2 linked regions of the Neodiprion lecontei genome follow. The protein of the gene in region 2 binds, or shares a complex with, the protein of the main gene of each other region. Links are inferred from orthologs where the notes say so. Each region holds a gene or a part of one and is shown on either strand. Other genes may lie near its edges.

Region 1 (6,595 bases), on a different chromosome or scaffold from region 2:
CTTCCAGACTTTATGATGGAGTTGTATCTCTAGGGCACGCAGCAAAGCAGATAGGTGTAATAGGTTCCGGTATTAGATTTATTAAAAATAGTCTCGAGGGAGCAAGGAAACAAAATCTTCAATTATCGGATACAGAGAAGATGAAGTACAGCGGTCAGCTGCAAAAAAGTCAACAGTCTTTACTGACACTTGAAAAAGAGTTAATATATATGAAAACTCTTGCTAAAAAGGTAAGCAAAAGATGTTGTAAAACGATTCAAATCAATATCAAATCTGTAACACCCTGTTGATTTTTCGTAGATTAGCAAAGACACAAAATTAATTCCTCCCGCTGATTATATTGGACCAAAAAAAAAGAAATCCGACTGGACCATAATCATTGGTGTCACTTTGATCATAGGAATGTATCTCTCAAGGACCAACTATATCCAAAGAATATGGAATTAATACATATATGTTGATAGTTGATGACTGTGTGATAATAATGTTAAGGAACTTCGCATTGAACAATCTACTTTTACGTCAACTTTTAAATATTATTTTTTACCTGTAACTAAGATGATTTATACTGGATTAATTACTGTTAAATAATTCTAATTTTTGTAAGTGCCATGACACCCGTTAATATCTATAAAATAATCCTAATTAAGTTTGATGGTGCAATGTGCACCGTCATCTTTCAAGACTGATTTGAATTGGTGTAGATCATGAGTTCTTCATTGTACTTTTGCCTTGCAACTTTCAGAAAATATCTCCAAAGCAGGTAAATCCAATATTTTTGGTCTGCCAAACATTTTTTATTAATTGACATTGCAAAAAACACAAACCAAATATTCTTACGAAATAAAACTTTGTAAACTTACTACCTAGTTAAGACTAGCTAACTTGGCCATGAGGGGAAAAAGCGGATGGAATGTTGGCTGATTTCTTTGGCGAACAGCCAACTGGTATCGTTGTAGAGGGCCACTGCTCAATGCCAATCTCTCTCTCTCTCCAGGATTAGCATCCAGCCACTGAGACAGTCGACTCACAGACCAACCTGCACTCTATAAATATCGAGAATAGATTATCTCATTGCTACAATTTCCATAGCTTTGCTTAATCAAGCTTTTGTGACTAGTATAACAAATCCTTTTAGGTTTCACAAAAATAATGGGAAGAATTTATTTTTTCAATACCTGATGAGGAGATGGCAAATCACTCGGAGCACCAGAAAATAGATGTAAGAGGACAAGGGAAGACGGTACGCTCCCTTCACCCTCTAACACTCGTTGAACCATTTCTTCTGGTCTAAGTGGAAGCAGCGCTCTGAGTGCTCGAAGCACTCTATACTGCTGCTGCTCAGCCAAGCCAAGCTGCCCCCCTCGGCACAGCGGCATCACTGCCACTTCCATCTGCAAACAGAATGTTGCCGTTTTTATTTCCTAAAGGCTCCATCGCTGTTCGTCGCTAACTTTATTCCTTTTGATAACGAAGCTAATAATTTGACACAACTTATCTAATAAGTGGATATACCTGATTGAAGTCAGCAATGAGTTTAGCCCTCCCATGTTCACTTAGTGGCCTCAGAAGGCAAGCGTGTCTAACAAACAACTCAATGCATCTCGAAGCTACACTCTTGCAACTGAAATCAAAAATTCATTTTTAATAATCACGATTTAGTAGACAGTTACTGATCAAATGTGTAGGAATCATGCCCACCTACCATTCAGCAACTATTGTTTGATTCTTGTATGGAACTAGGAATGTGTTAACAGATCGGAGTATGAAGCCCTGTAGCTCGCGCATATACAACGAGCTCCCAATTTCTTTTCCTAAGGGACTCCCAGATCTGACAGTGATAAGAGACATCAGAATTAGTTTCAAAATGAGCAAGAAGTATATAAAATACCAAATATTTCAACCGAACAAAACTCTCACTCTCTAAACTCTGGATCATCGTGCATCGTTAGGAGGATACTTTCCACTGCGTCAGTGATAGATGCTAGTAATGGTGCCAGTATTCCTCTCGTCAATGTATCGGTGTGCTCTAGAGCAGACGCTATAACCGATGCTCCACCAACCGGTAAGCTGCCAGCCATATTTGCTATCACACGACCCATTTGGGCAGCAAGATAATGTAGTAAATTGGCAAGAGTGACGTTCAATTGTTGGCCGACATTTGGACTGTCAATTACTTGACTTGCTTCTGCCCCAGTGACCAAGCCTTGTTCGCATTTCAAGCAAAAAAGCCGCACAGCTTTACCAACATTGCGTGCAACAACCATTGACAATCCTTCATCCACCAATGAGACACTCAGTTCACTGCATTAGTTTAATTTGATTAGTTAGATACTTTGTAGTTCCCCTTATTCAACGAACTTTATCAATTCGGCATCAACATGTAATCACCTAGTAACGGTACGAATTAAGCTATCTATTTCGTCCTGGTTTGGTGCTCCATCTCCAGAAAACATCGTATGCACAGGATCTAGTAGTCTAGATACCGAGCGTGACAGGTAAGCATTTTCAAACGGTGACAACACGTCTCTACTAAAAATTTTTAATTTGTATGATGAAATGAGTTGAATGAAGTAAGTTTTTATGAAGTCAAAATATAGGAAAGAGCTTACTTTATAGCGTACACACCAATGGCTTGCGATCTATCTTTGAGACGTTTACTAAGATCCAGATATATTCTAAGAAATTTTGGATACTCCCCTTCTAATGCCTGCTTGATAAATGAAGATCCTGTAAAATAAGTACATCTATACTTACCATCGAAATTTAATCATCATTCTGGCTAAAGGATGATTTTACCTTGAGAACGTTCGATTAGAATCTTAGCCAATAGTCCTGTAACATTGAGCCAGAACTTCTCCGATAGATCGTCAAATCCCTTTGAGTGATTTTCCAATAATGTTCTTTGAAGTAACTCAATCTGCCCAAGAAATGTTATGAGTTTCAAATAATGTACAGAAATTATGGAGAAAAGCTGACAGATAGCAGAGTTACTAGAAATCAAACCTGTATGCATTGTGTATAAACTGAATCTTGAAAAAGACGTTCCAAATTAGCCCAAAGTCGTGTGCGCAGATTACCAGATGAGCCAGGTGAAGGTAGGGCTGCTCTTCCAGGCCCACCTCTTTTTCCTATATCTTGATTGGTGGGTACAGATATATCCAGTGCCTCTCTGGCGAGTTTTTCAACCTCAGAAAGGGCTTGAGTAGAAGTAGTTTCTACTGTATTATCAAGTATTCCCAAATTTGAAAATACTTGCACCGCAGTGCTGACCTATATAAGTAAATAATTTCTATACAAACGAATATACCTCTATAAAGTTTTATAGGATAGAATAGTGGCTTAGAATCAATCAGTTTACCTGCGAACGATCATTGGATTGTAAACCTTGAGACAAAGTATGTGTAGCTATCCTCTGAACAGTCGCTCTGTGAACTTTAACAGCTCTCTGGTCTTCAGCAACCACGTCTAACCCACTCAAGTCCGTGTCAACCATCAATTGCTCTGTGAAATAACGATAATTGATGTAGGAAAAATCGGTAGACTTTTATAATATTATTTTATAAAACTAAGGCTACTGTGACCTCATTACAGTACCTAATTCATGCAAGCTGTTGGCTGCCTTCACAAAATCAGGACTAGCTGTGCTACTGCTCATTTGTGATTGTAAGCGTCTTGATAGGTGTTGCATTCTTGTTACTCTCCGTAAGAGGTCAGAAGTTTCGTGAAGCCGCGATAAGACCAGTGTCTGTGTCTCGATTCTATTGAATGGCTCCACTATTTTTCCACGGAGTCGTTCAACTGCTGATAGTAGGCTCTGAATTAAAAGGAAAACAATACATTTAAAAATTCTGTAATCCGGAGTTCGAAGTAAAGAATAATATCTTGCGCGTTGGATACAAATCTATGGATTCAAACGTCACAAATCAGCTCACTTGCACATGTGCTTGCATTGTGGAAAGTACGCCTTCCAACTTCTCGACCCATGTCACTTGGGAAAGAAGATCTTCATGGTTGGCTAATACCTGGTTTTGTAGTTCGGCATCTAGAACTGTTATGGCTGTAAAAAGAAAACACTTGATTGGTAACATTCTCAAACGATTATACTGCCTGTATTATTGTTTGTTATTTATAATTGGATAAATACATGCCTTGAGCCAACTTGTTGAGCTGCTGAGCAACTGATAGCACTTGATTAAAATTCGTCTGCTTAATTTCACCTCCGAGGAATTGCTTGAAGAATTCTGAAACTCCATTTACGTGAGATGCATATTCAAATAATTTAAATGCATATTATTTTAATCTATCCAGGATTGCAGCTACAGGTTGAATTTTATAATTTACCGTCATTTTCAATGGTCTGCCAATTTGACACGTTGCTCATTTTTTAAGGTTATTCACACAATATCTTGCAAATTTCGGTGTTAGCAATTCGATTCACCAAAAGTCAGAAACCGCTCGCCAATTTTTCATGGTCTTCTCTGTCTGCTGAAGAAAAATTATTCTTTCTTGATAAAATATGAAATAGCTTCAGGTTTTAGTTTCACGTCAATCATGAATCCTAAGCTTTGATTAAAGTGCCAAGCTGTCAGACACGACCAGCTTTTGGCAAACTTGTGGGTTTCAAAATTAGAGCCTTCAGAACACTAGATGGAGCTACCTTGAGGTTTTTCTCGTAAGAAATTGTAGTGAAAAATTATCATTATAAAATTGATTGTAAAGATGACTTTTCAAGTTCAGGCTACTTATTTTTGACCCTATTGAGTTACACCTGGCATTGATACGCTGTTTTTCCATACTTCACATCCTGGATCGCGTTGAAATCAGATTTGTAAACTGGAGAAATTTTTTTATTTTGATGCGAAACCACGTGCCGCACTTTCTAATCTCTTCATAGATTATTATTCTGACACTTTTTTATTGTCAACATTTGTTGAATTTAAGATCGTGTGCACATTGCTTGATTCGATTGTAATAGATTAATCTTGAGTAATCTTCTTGTAGAATGGAAAGGGGCTACCAATAAAATAACAATTACACCTCCGTATATTTGTAGGCAAACTTTGAAATTTCAGGTATATATTATTGTAAATTCAATGGATATAAAACATCTCTCCGTTCTTGTACAACGTAGATATATATACGTATATACATTATACATGTATGTATATAAATATTAATATAATCATGTATAAAAATTATAGATATAAAAATGGTTTGACAATTACTCAGGGGTATTGGGCAGAACATTAATTGGTAGTATATGTATAATAATGATTTGTAACTTAAATTTATTTTATATCTCTACCCGCGACCCATAGGGCGTTGATTATACATATACTTCCGGATTTCTTCCAAACTTTAGCGACATCTCAAAATAATATAATGGTATAGGACGAGCCGAATCAATACCACGATTTTTAAGTACAAAAGCAAGCATTACATAAGTACACGTTTCGTTCCGCAGTAGAGTGCAGGATATTTTCTAAATGCAAACAATGAAAGTAGAAGACTATTTGTAGAAAGTGCCTCCCATCTTCATGTGTGAGCGCAATGACTTACGTCTCTGATCTCTAAAATGTCACGTAAATGCGTTCTGAATTCCTGCTACAGAGTGAATTTATAAAATTATGTACCACTGCTACAAAGTCAGCATCCCCAGTACTTATTAGACCGGATAAGGTGCTACGTTTTTGGAAGTTCGATTGACTGGCAGGTAATGATCAACACTGTCTGAACAATGAATGAAGACAAAGCCGTGATTCTATATCAACTTGAGACATCGATACTTCTTAATCTCACACCAACAGTTAAACTCGATAATTAGGCTTTTAGCAGCGCTAAGTACTTGAGATTACTTAGTGCAAAATTCTCAATTCGTAACATAAAAAAAAAACTAGCCGAGAGAGCACAATTTTCCAACTTAATTGGCATAGGCCGATTATGGAAACAAAGTTATTTTGGAACTGATGATGACATAATTTCATCACTACATTATAATAATGAAATCGAAATGATGAAAAGTAAAGTAATAAACGTCAAAGACAAATTAGTACATATTGAAATTAAGGAACACAAAATAAAATATTCAACATATTTGACAGGATTCTATGCAGTCGTAATTAACAATAGAAAGATTTTTGGCTTTGAAAACGACTTAGGAAAATACAGAACTAAATCAAAGCAATAAATAAATTTCAGAAGAAAATCTTTTTAACCCAATCACTTCCTGTAAGCTGAACAAAATATAGACTGGTCAGCATCAAACAGCAGCGGTATCTTCTGTATTTCTAAGCAAAGCCGCAGCTTTTACAACATCGCCGCCACACTGACCCAACATAACTTTGCAATCTTCGAGCCTGACAAAGTTGTTCTCCTTTCTGAGTAACCCTTGGAGTCTTTCGAGCTTTATAGCTGCTAGAACATCCCAATCTGACACGTTCAATGCCTCGACGCATGACTCGGGTGTTGATTGTTCGTGTAACACTTTCATCATTATTCTGACCTCATCCGATTGCTCTCCGTTGCGAGGTCCCCGTGTTCGGCGAACGTTTGGACCGTCGCACGCAAATTCCAACAAATCTTCGCACGATAC
Region 2 (7,824 bases):
CTGGCTAAAGCCTAAGCTTCTCTCAGCTGCCAAGGCAACAGGTATAACGCGTGGTAAGCGTTCTAATAATTCGAATGCCAGTTATATCTGCAACCACAAGTTTATCCAGCTGAGCAGATATTCCGAGTAGTGTGTAATACGCGTTATAAAATTAATCCCTGAGATTACACGAGCTCTATTCGAACCGCGCAATCTAATAACCTGGCGAATATCTAATTTCTGGTAGACGAGGAAAGGGATTTGGCGAAAGGTAAAAATAGAAAGGAAGCTTCGAGTAAATGTGAGAATAAAATTCAACAACCAGACAGATTTATTCGAGATTATTTTTTCGACAATATCTGGACGATGCGTATATTTACAAATTTTATTAACACAAGCTGACCAGCCACTGTACAATACAGCTCGATATTTGCATTGAATTTTTCTATCCGGTACCGAACCAATCGGAACCCATGGCTCCGAAGAAGGCGGCAGCGCCTGACTTGATACTGGCTCCGGCAGAATCGGTCCTTGCGTGAGTCTTGGTCGGCGTTTTCTTCCGCTAAAATAATGAATTTTTACATTAGGTACACAGAGAACTTGAACCAGACCTGGATAGTCGGCAGATGGTCGGGATTTCAAACGTTAATTATACAAAGCACACACAGTGATTATAATAAACGGTTCAAAGTCGTTGGGAATTAAAAATTCAAATAGCAAAAGCGTGCGGTCGTGTTATGTACTCGCAGAGAGATTATTATCGCTCGGCGGTGACGGTTAATAAGGCGTGTACATACAGGTATGTATGTACATACACACAGCACATTGTCCATAATTGTAATTAATCCACTGTAATCGATTGGGACAATTAACCGGATTGCTAATAAGAATTGTTACTTTTATTGTTGTCGTTGGCGTTATTGTTATTGTTACGTTTGCAGAGAAACGTTTCTGTCTTCCGTTAGTCAGGGCCAAACAAACTGTAGAGGAGGCACCGACTCCCGTTGTAATTGGTTAACTAACACCAGACAACCGTGGGCGAGCATTAAATTCCCAGTTTCACGAGCTGGTCTACCTTGTCCATGCAGCGCCCTTCCCTCTGTTCATCACCCTATAAACGCCGCTGTTAAGCCAAATTTACGAAGGCAACGGGACTCGTAATGCGGTACTCTATAAACGCGAAATTATCTGTTTAGCTCGAGTTCCGGTTCGGTGTACTTGGCCTCACGCATAAACTAGCGTCGTAATTTGACCGACTAAAATTCACTCCGTTCTCCTAATTTTCCATTTCAGGCAAACTACGTCCGGAAAGAGCGGACTTGTTTCGTCACGTTTTTTCATGCCTACCATCGACTTGTCCTGCAGCGAGGCTATCGGGACTATTGGCACCGTTCTCGCCGGCGCTGTCACTGTCAGAGGAGGAAACCACGGAGCTCCGGAACAAACGGCCAGGACTCCTGGAGCTTCTGTTGCACCTTTTGCGCCGTCACCAGCTACAGGGTTCATCCGGGCTCCGAGAACGGAGAGCAGCTGCTCCGAGTGAGGCACCAGGTTTCCGAATATCAACTGGAAGACCAAGATGCTCAATGGTGATTTCGTACCAGATTTTTAACTCAACGCTAATTGCGTTTGTACCGAATCTGTTCATCGCGCGTGTAAAGGCTTTGCAAATTTTCCATTGTGTCTATGTACCCGGTTCACGGGGCAATGGAGATATATAATTCAGGTTCATGCCTTGGGATCCAGATAGGAGTGCCGGTTTCCCTTTCAAACTTATCCATCCGAGATGGTTGATTAATTAATTATGAGCTTTGAATGCGTCTGACACGGCGTAAATGATGCAAAAAAAAATATTGGCATTTTTAATTTTTAAAGTAAACAAAAGTCCAAAACGCGAGTAATGTAATTTTCGATGAATTGGATGGAAAAATTTTATCGCAATAAATTACCTGCGTCCTCTGAGCGCTCTTCTTTACGTTCGCGTGTATGAACGGATAAAATACGTCCAAATCGAAGGGATCGATCTTCGACTGAATGTCGTCGCATATTTGAGACGACTTGTCTACAAATTTTTTATTCTCTCGAGGAATCATTAACAGTGTGACGTATTTCGTGTCCAGCAACGTTTGCAGGGCTTGTTTCTGCTTCAAGTCGTCATTCTTCGATAACTCCGCGTAATATTCAAACAATTCCGTCACTACCGTGTCCACTATTTCGTGTAGTATTTTCCTGGAATTAGGCGAGTGTAATGAACCCATATTTTTCTTTCCAAATTCATCCACAAGTCTTGTCGACTCTTTTCAAAATGTTTACGTTATATTCATTTGATCCCGCAAGTCTGTTTCGGACAGATACATTTACCACCCGGCGTCTACAGTAACGCGGGTCCGAAAAAAATCGGAAGCTGACATTGGGACGAAATATCTAACGATCAAAAATCTCTTCAGCATAGCCCGAACTGAATCTTACCCTTCGTATAATCCAATTCTACTATTCATCCGGTGAACCAATTTTTATCAACGTATTCACAAAATTTTCCGTTCAAAAAGTTGAATTTTCAATATGAAAGTTGATGGAGTACGAATTACGCTTACGTAAATATTCTTTGATATTATACTGTGGTTTTTCGTACAATATTTACGTTATTAAATACCTCTGCGGTATAAAACCAGCTCATTTCAAATTTCATCAAAATTTGAGATTATCCGCAGATCGTATTACGCTGATAAAATTGAATACCTAATATCCTTATTATACATTGATTAGTAGAAAGTCAGTTGATCGAAATAGTCAAGCTCTTATTAAAAATTGAACCGATATTTCATACGAAGTTAAAAAATTTTCAATCACAATGCAACCAAAATTAATAGAGATAAGAAATAGCTTGCAAGCGTGCAAAAGTACTCACTTTGGCAACGTGTGAGGAATTATCGAATTCAAGTCTTTGCTAACAGCGGCCAGGAACTTCTGCACGGATATGGAAGGTTGGTAGGGTACCAAAATTTCAGACTTCATTCTTTTCCCTTCCTCGGCCTCCTCCTCGATCGTGACTTTCTCCCAGTCGCAAATCATTGTTTGCATTTTCAAAACGTTGAGAGACCTTGGCATAATTCCTTCCTTGTGATCGTGAATTTTCCGTTTGAAAATCTTGGCCCAAACTGTCCAAGCGGCGAGGCTGTCATCCCTCAAAGTATCGCAAATCGACTGCCACTTCGTGTTCGGTATAACGATACCCGAGACTTTCGAAAGGGTGAAACACTTGTTCAAGCTCGGGCAGAGTATAGTCAGTGCTTGGAAAAACCTCGCAGTCAGAATCGCGTTCACCTCCCGCTTTCCCACCTTCGCATCTTCGACGAGGCATTCATCCCTGATAAACTGTGACAATTCGTGTACCTTCTGCGTGCTTATTACTTGGAGTTGTTCCTGCACGATTTCGCGGTCTACGAACTTATTCAGAGTGCTCGAGATTTTAACAGCCAGGAGATCGGTCGTCGTCGTTGTCGACTTTTGACTTTGGTAAAGATAAAGGTGAAGATCCTGCAGCAGGTTGAGCAAATTTCTGTCAAAACTCTCGCAAAGTTTAGCCAAATTCGGAGAAAAGCCCCGCGTCTTCATCAGCAAAAGCCGATCGTTGTCGGCCCCGTTCCTGTTCAATTTTTGCGGTATGTCTGATGGGGAATCTTTCCAAATGTACCACCTCAGATCGTGCTCGGGATACTCGCATTTATCGTGGGCCACCTTGTTCAGGGTGTCGAAGAGGTCGGTCTTCAAATTGAACAGAGTTTCGTCCCACTTGATGCTCACGATTCCCTTTACACGCTCGGTCAGCAACAGCTGAAAGTAATCCCCCCAGAAATTTACCGTCTTTTCCAAAGATAATTTCTTGCACATGATTTCCCAATTCTGAGGAACTTCCAGGGCGAGAACCTCTTCTCTGATATTGTGTATCCCTTTGACCGACGTCACTAGATCAAGCAGTTTTGAGACCTCACGTTTTACAAAACCCTCCACCCAGCTGAGCCAGTTTGTCAAATTATTTTTTAACTCCGCTTCCGGAATTGGTTCAATCTCGCCCCGAGTTGACGGTTTGTGGCTCTTTGCGAATGGTGACAAGAATTTATCTGTCAAATCCCTGTCTACCTTTAGCAGGGACAAAGTTGTTGGCGCGTTTGAACCAGCTACTTCCTCTACACATTGCAACACAAGGCCCTGTTCCTTGCCGTTCGTCTCTGAAATCACATGGTCAAGATTCGGAGAAATCGTGATTCCTCAGCATGAATATTTATGAATGAATAGTATGGGTAGAGATTGTGGGAATGAGGTTTCAGAGGAAACATGACAAAAAAAAAAAAGGTTTTTTTATATAGTACGTAGACATTCTTAGAAAGATACAACAACTGATGTTACCGAACTTGAAGAATGACGAAAAATACGTCAATTCCACAATCAGGTAATTTTTCTTACCCACAAAACAGGAATAAAGCAGATCGATCACGTGTGTCAGCATCTTAACGCTCAAGCTAATTCGATTCCTCACGCTAAGATGGCTCTCGTCTTTTATTACGGCCTCGACGGCTTGGCTTCGAAGAGTAATCAATTTCTTCAACAACTCTGTAGATGCCATGCCATCCAAAAGAACCAGTGAAGCTAAACAATTGGCTGCTGACTGTAAATCGACAGATAAGATCCATATATTTTTATTCTTCATACTCGAATTTACTTTATACGTAATAATAATATATCAAATTGTCGCGTACCTCAACTGGGAGTTCAAGCGACTGCAGAACCTTATTACACCCAGTTAAAATTACATTTCTAAAGTGGCTTATGACGCCCCACTGTTTGAGAATTATCGGATACTTGGTAGCCAGGTCCGAATTGCCAACTTCAATCCTTAGACTGTAATTGATGTGCTGAGCGAACAAAAACAGTTGTGTGGCCAGTAGAAAGTTCTCCGTATCTACCGCCGACCATATTTGCTCCGGTATGTCCATCAGAATTTTGATTTGCATTACTATCGAGTCGTAAGCTTCATTTGACTTATTGCTACAAACGTTTATTAACTCACAAATGTATTTGGCATTTGATTTATAATGAGGGTACAAGAATTCGGATATTGGTGTCAACCTAAGTATCCAAGAATGATTTTGCGCTATTGTTACCTTTCCAACATCTGTTCCGGTGGATCCATTTTAAACCCGATGAGGTATTTCTGTTGCAACTTATGACAAGTCTCCTCCATGTTGCAGATCCTTGCTATAACGCACTCGGAAGTCTGCTTCATCTCTGCTATCGTATCCGCAGCTTCTATCAAATCTCGATATCGTTCTCTGTCAAAAAAATACTGGTATTTTGTTCTCAATTTGTTTTTGAAAATGGATAAGTCTATTACCTAAATATTCACTGGCAGGACAAATCATTTTTGTCATAATGAATCGTTAAGTCATCAAAATGAGAATATTAAAAAGAAAAACAAACTGTCAGGAATAAGCTGATGGTATTTTTTATTCGTGGGGAAAATCGGTAAAATTTTATTTGCATATTTATATACAAAAATCAGCTTAAAACTACTACGATTACAAATTGACACTACGCTTCTTAACCTAAAAAATCTCACCCAACAAGCGTACGAAGCTCGACTTTCTTTCGTTCGCTTTCATTTTGAATTTTTTTCTGTATCTGTTCGACTTCCTTAATCGTATGACCCTCGAAAACTTTTTTTATATCCAGCTCCAAAAGATTAACAACTGGCATTTTAAATTTTAAATACCGAACCCTAATTTTTGATTTTGACACATCAACACAATCCCAGCTGATATCCGAAACCATAAGACATGCGTTCCAGAGACCAACGCACCTCGAATTGTTCCTGCACCAACTAACTGACATTAGGCATCCGTGCCTTCATAGCTTTGATCTCTGTTGTCGGTTTGTCAGTCAATTGTGTCGGTACTAGAGATCGCGTCCTGATCTGCTACACCGGGAGATACGGATAATGATCGCTTCGAAATAATACCACACATTGGAAATTCACGTCAACATCTCTCGGCTGGCTCAACCTCATCTTCATGCAAAATGAATCATCGCTAATAAAGTTTGAAATCTGCGGCGCCGTGAGGCATTATCTTAGTCAAAATGTAGCGCCAATAGCGCTTAGCGGGAGTCTGCCGAACCTTCGATACAACGAAGATTTACGCTGCGAGTCATGCATCTACGTTTTCTTCATTCTTCAGTGCGGCGCGTATTGTAGACACAAATATCTCAATGCTAGTGTGGCGTTCGGTCTGCAGTTGGAGCCAGTCGCCGTTTGTGGTTGTGTTCTGTGTTCAGTGTCAAGCCAACATGGCGGCCGCGTTGACCGTCGAGCAGGAACAAGTAAGTGAAATGCGAATTGTTATTTGTGGAACGAGAATCCATCGCCGAGCGATATTTCATTGAGAGCTATGAGACTTCTCGCCCCTTCCCCGCTTCCACACGTATTTTCAAACTGCTATTCAACGTGTATAAATAACACCGCGAGTACCGAATGTAAACATTTCAACACCTCTTCCGCACGTCCGCGAGTTCCGTCAGGTTTGCTTGACAGCGGGGACTAATTTTTATTCATTTTTTTTTTGTCGTGCGGTGTATAAATAGCCCCCGTGAAAAGTGGTGAAATCCGCAATTCCAATAGACTCGTTGCGTGTCTCTCTCTCGAGTTATTTATTATTTGTTTACGTTTACAAATTAAAATCCGTGCTCGAAACTTCCGGGTGCATCTCAAATTGTGTATTAGGTACGGTAAATTCAGAGACGAAGAGACGGTTTTCTGTACCCGATCGTCGGTCCGGATCTTTGCATTATTATACACTTGCGTATCTTGTTTTTATTTATATGCCCGTCTGCACGTCGCAACGTAAACGTTACATTCATTTGCCACGTGTAAACACACTCTACATATATAAGTCTATAATATTCTCATCTCCGTTTCTCACAATTCATATACTTAATAAATATTACGTACTCGAAGGGAAACGGATGAAAAAAAATTTTTTCAAACCGCGGAATACGTACGCCTTACTTTCAACCAGGCACGCCTCGAATCTTTAACGGATAAAAAAAAGCACAGGATCGAGCCAAAATCTAGAGCGTTTCAACGACGTAACTGCATTCCATTATACAAACTCCGGCTGTTTCATCTGATATCAGACGAGATCTCGATCAACCTTCAACTACTTTTCAAAGCATTAAATTCCACCGCACATTCCAGTTTTATTAGGGCATTCGAAATCCTTGATTGTGTCACGATTTTCGCTGAAGAAGAAGTCTGCAATCGAATCGGGGAAAGAGATAAACAGCAGTTTATTAATTTCTCAATATTCGTTCGATCACAAACTCTACTTTTACTTTCATGGTACCATTTCTGTATGATTTACCCCAGTTTAGAGGACACGCAACTGGTTGCCCCGTTTCAATTTAAACTTTTTCATTTCTATTTTATCAACTGAATACTTTTTTCTTTTTTTTTTTGTCATTAATTCTTATACAAAGTACGTGCATAACGTATACTCTTGAATCAACGCCACGTTTCATCCGGATATACTCTTGGCTTGACGTATTACTCACATCCGTATGAACGTGTTCGTGTAAAGGGTATAACCGTATTTAACACACACGCCTATTTGCACGTTTTTTAATTTACGGACGCAGTGTCAGGCGAATTTCTCGAAGCATTAATACTACGTCTACATCAGTCGTCGAATTCCGTTTTCGTTTTTTTCCATTATTTTTCGTTAACTTCGCGTGAGTATGGAGAAGTAAAATGAAATCTCATACTTTTCGTAAACATTACACGGATTAGAAATC

The links. Proteins that work in one complex are often made in the same cells at the same time.
Region 1: conserved oligomeric Golgi complex subunit 1 (region 2) and conserved oligomeric Golgi complex subunit 5 share a complex: the UniProt entries of both Drosophila melanogaster proteins name them as parts of the conserved oligomeric Golgi complex. The link is inferred for Neodiprion lecontei from reciprocal best matches to the Drosophila melanogaster genes Cog1 and fws.

Annotation. Positions count from the first base shown.
Region 1 is NC_060263.1:35,787,760-35,794,354, forward strand, and holds conserved oligomeric Golgi complex subunit 5, read right to left. Parts: upstream 4,621-6,595; 5' UTR 4,385-4,620; coding exon 4,345-4,384; intron 4,245-4,344; coding exon 4,152-4,244; intron 4,061-4,151; coding exon 3,936-4,060; intron 3,818-3,935; coding exon 3,598-3,817; intron 3,505-3,597; coding exon 3,362-3,504; intron 3,274-3,361; coding exon 3,007-3,273; intron 2,921-3,006; coding exon 2,800-2,920; intron 2,731-2,799; coding exon 2,613-2,730; intron 2,533-2,612; coding exon 2,392-2,532; intron 2,305-2,391; coding exon 1,921-2,304; intron 1,832-1,920; coding exon 1,706-1,831; intron 1,625-1,705; coding exon 1,516-1,624; intron 1,395-1,515; coding exon 1,179-1,394; intron 1,047-1,178; coding exon 867-1,046; 3' UTR 528-866; downstream 1-527. Other genes in the region: ankyrin repeat, SAM and basic leucine zipper domain-containing protein 1, read left to right, coding at 8-230, 301-447. UniProt on the Drosophila melanogaster protein: Required for normal Golgi function and necessary during spermatogenesis. Required for cleavage furrow ingression during cytokinesis in dividing spermatocytes and for the extensive polarized cell growth that accompanies spermatid elongation.
Region 2 is NC_060265.1:22,252,050-22,259,873, reverse strand, and holds conserved oligomeric Golgi complex subunit 1, read right to left. Parts: upstream 6,019-7,824; 5' UTR 5,869-6,018; coding exon 5,597-5,868; intron 5,324-5,596; exon of another isoform or gene 5,310-5,323; coding exon 5,142-5,309; intron 5,026-5,141; coding exon 4,737-5,025; intron 4,646-4,736; coding exon 4,444-4,645; intron 4,209-4,443; coding exon 2,888-4,208; intron 2,209-2,887; coding exon 1,929-2,208; intron 1,546-1,928; coding exon 1,327-1,545; intron 1,150-1,326; exon of another isoform or gene 1,055-1,149; intron 542-1,054; coding exon 425-541; 3' UTR 293-424; downstream 1-292. Other genes in the region: tyrosine-protein phosphatase non-receptor type 9, read left to right, coding at 6,244-6,354. UniProt on the Drosophila melanogaster protein: Required for normal Golgi function.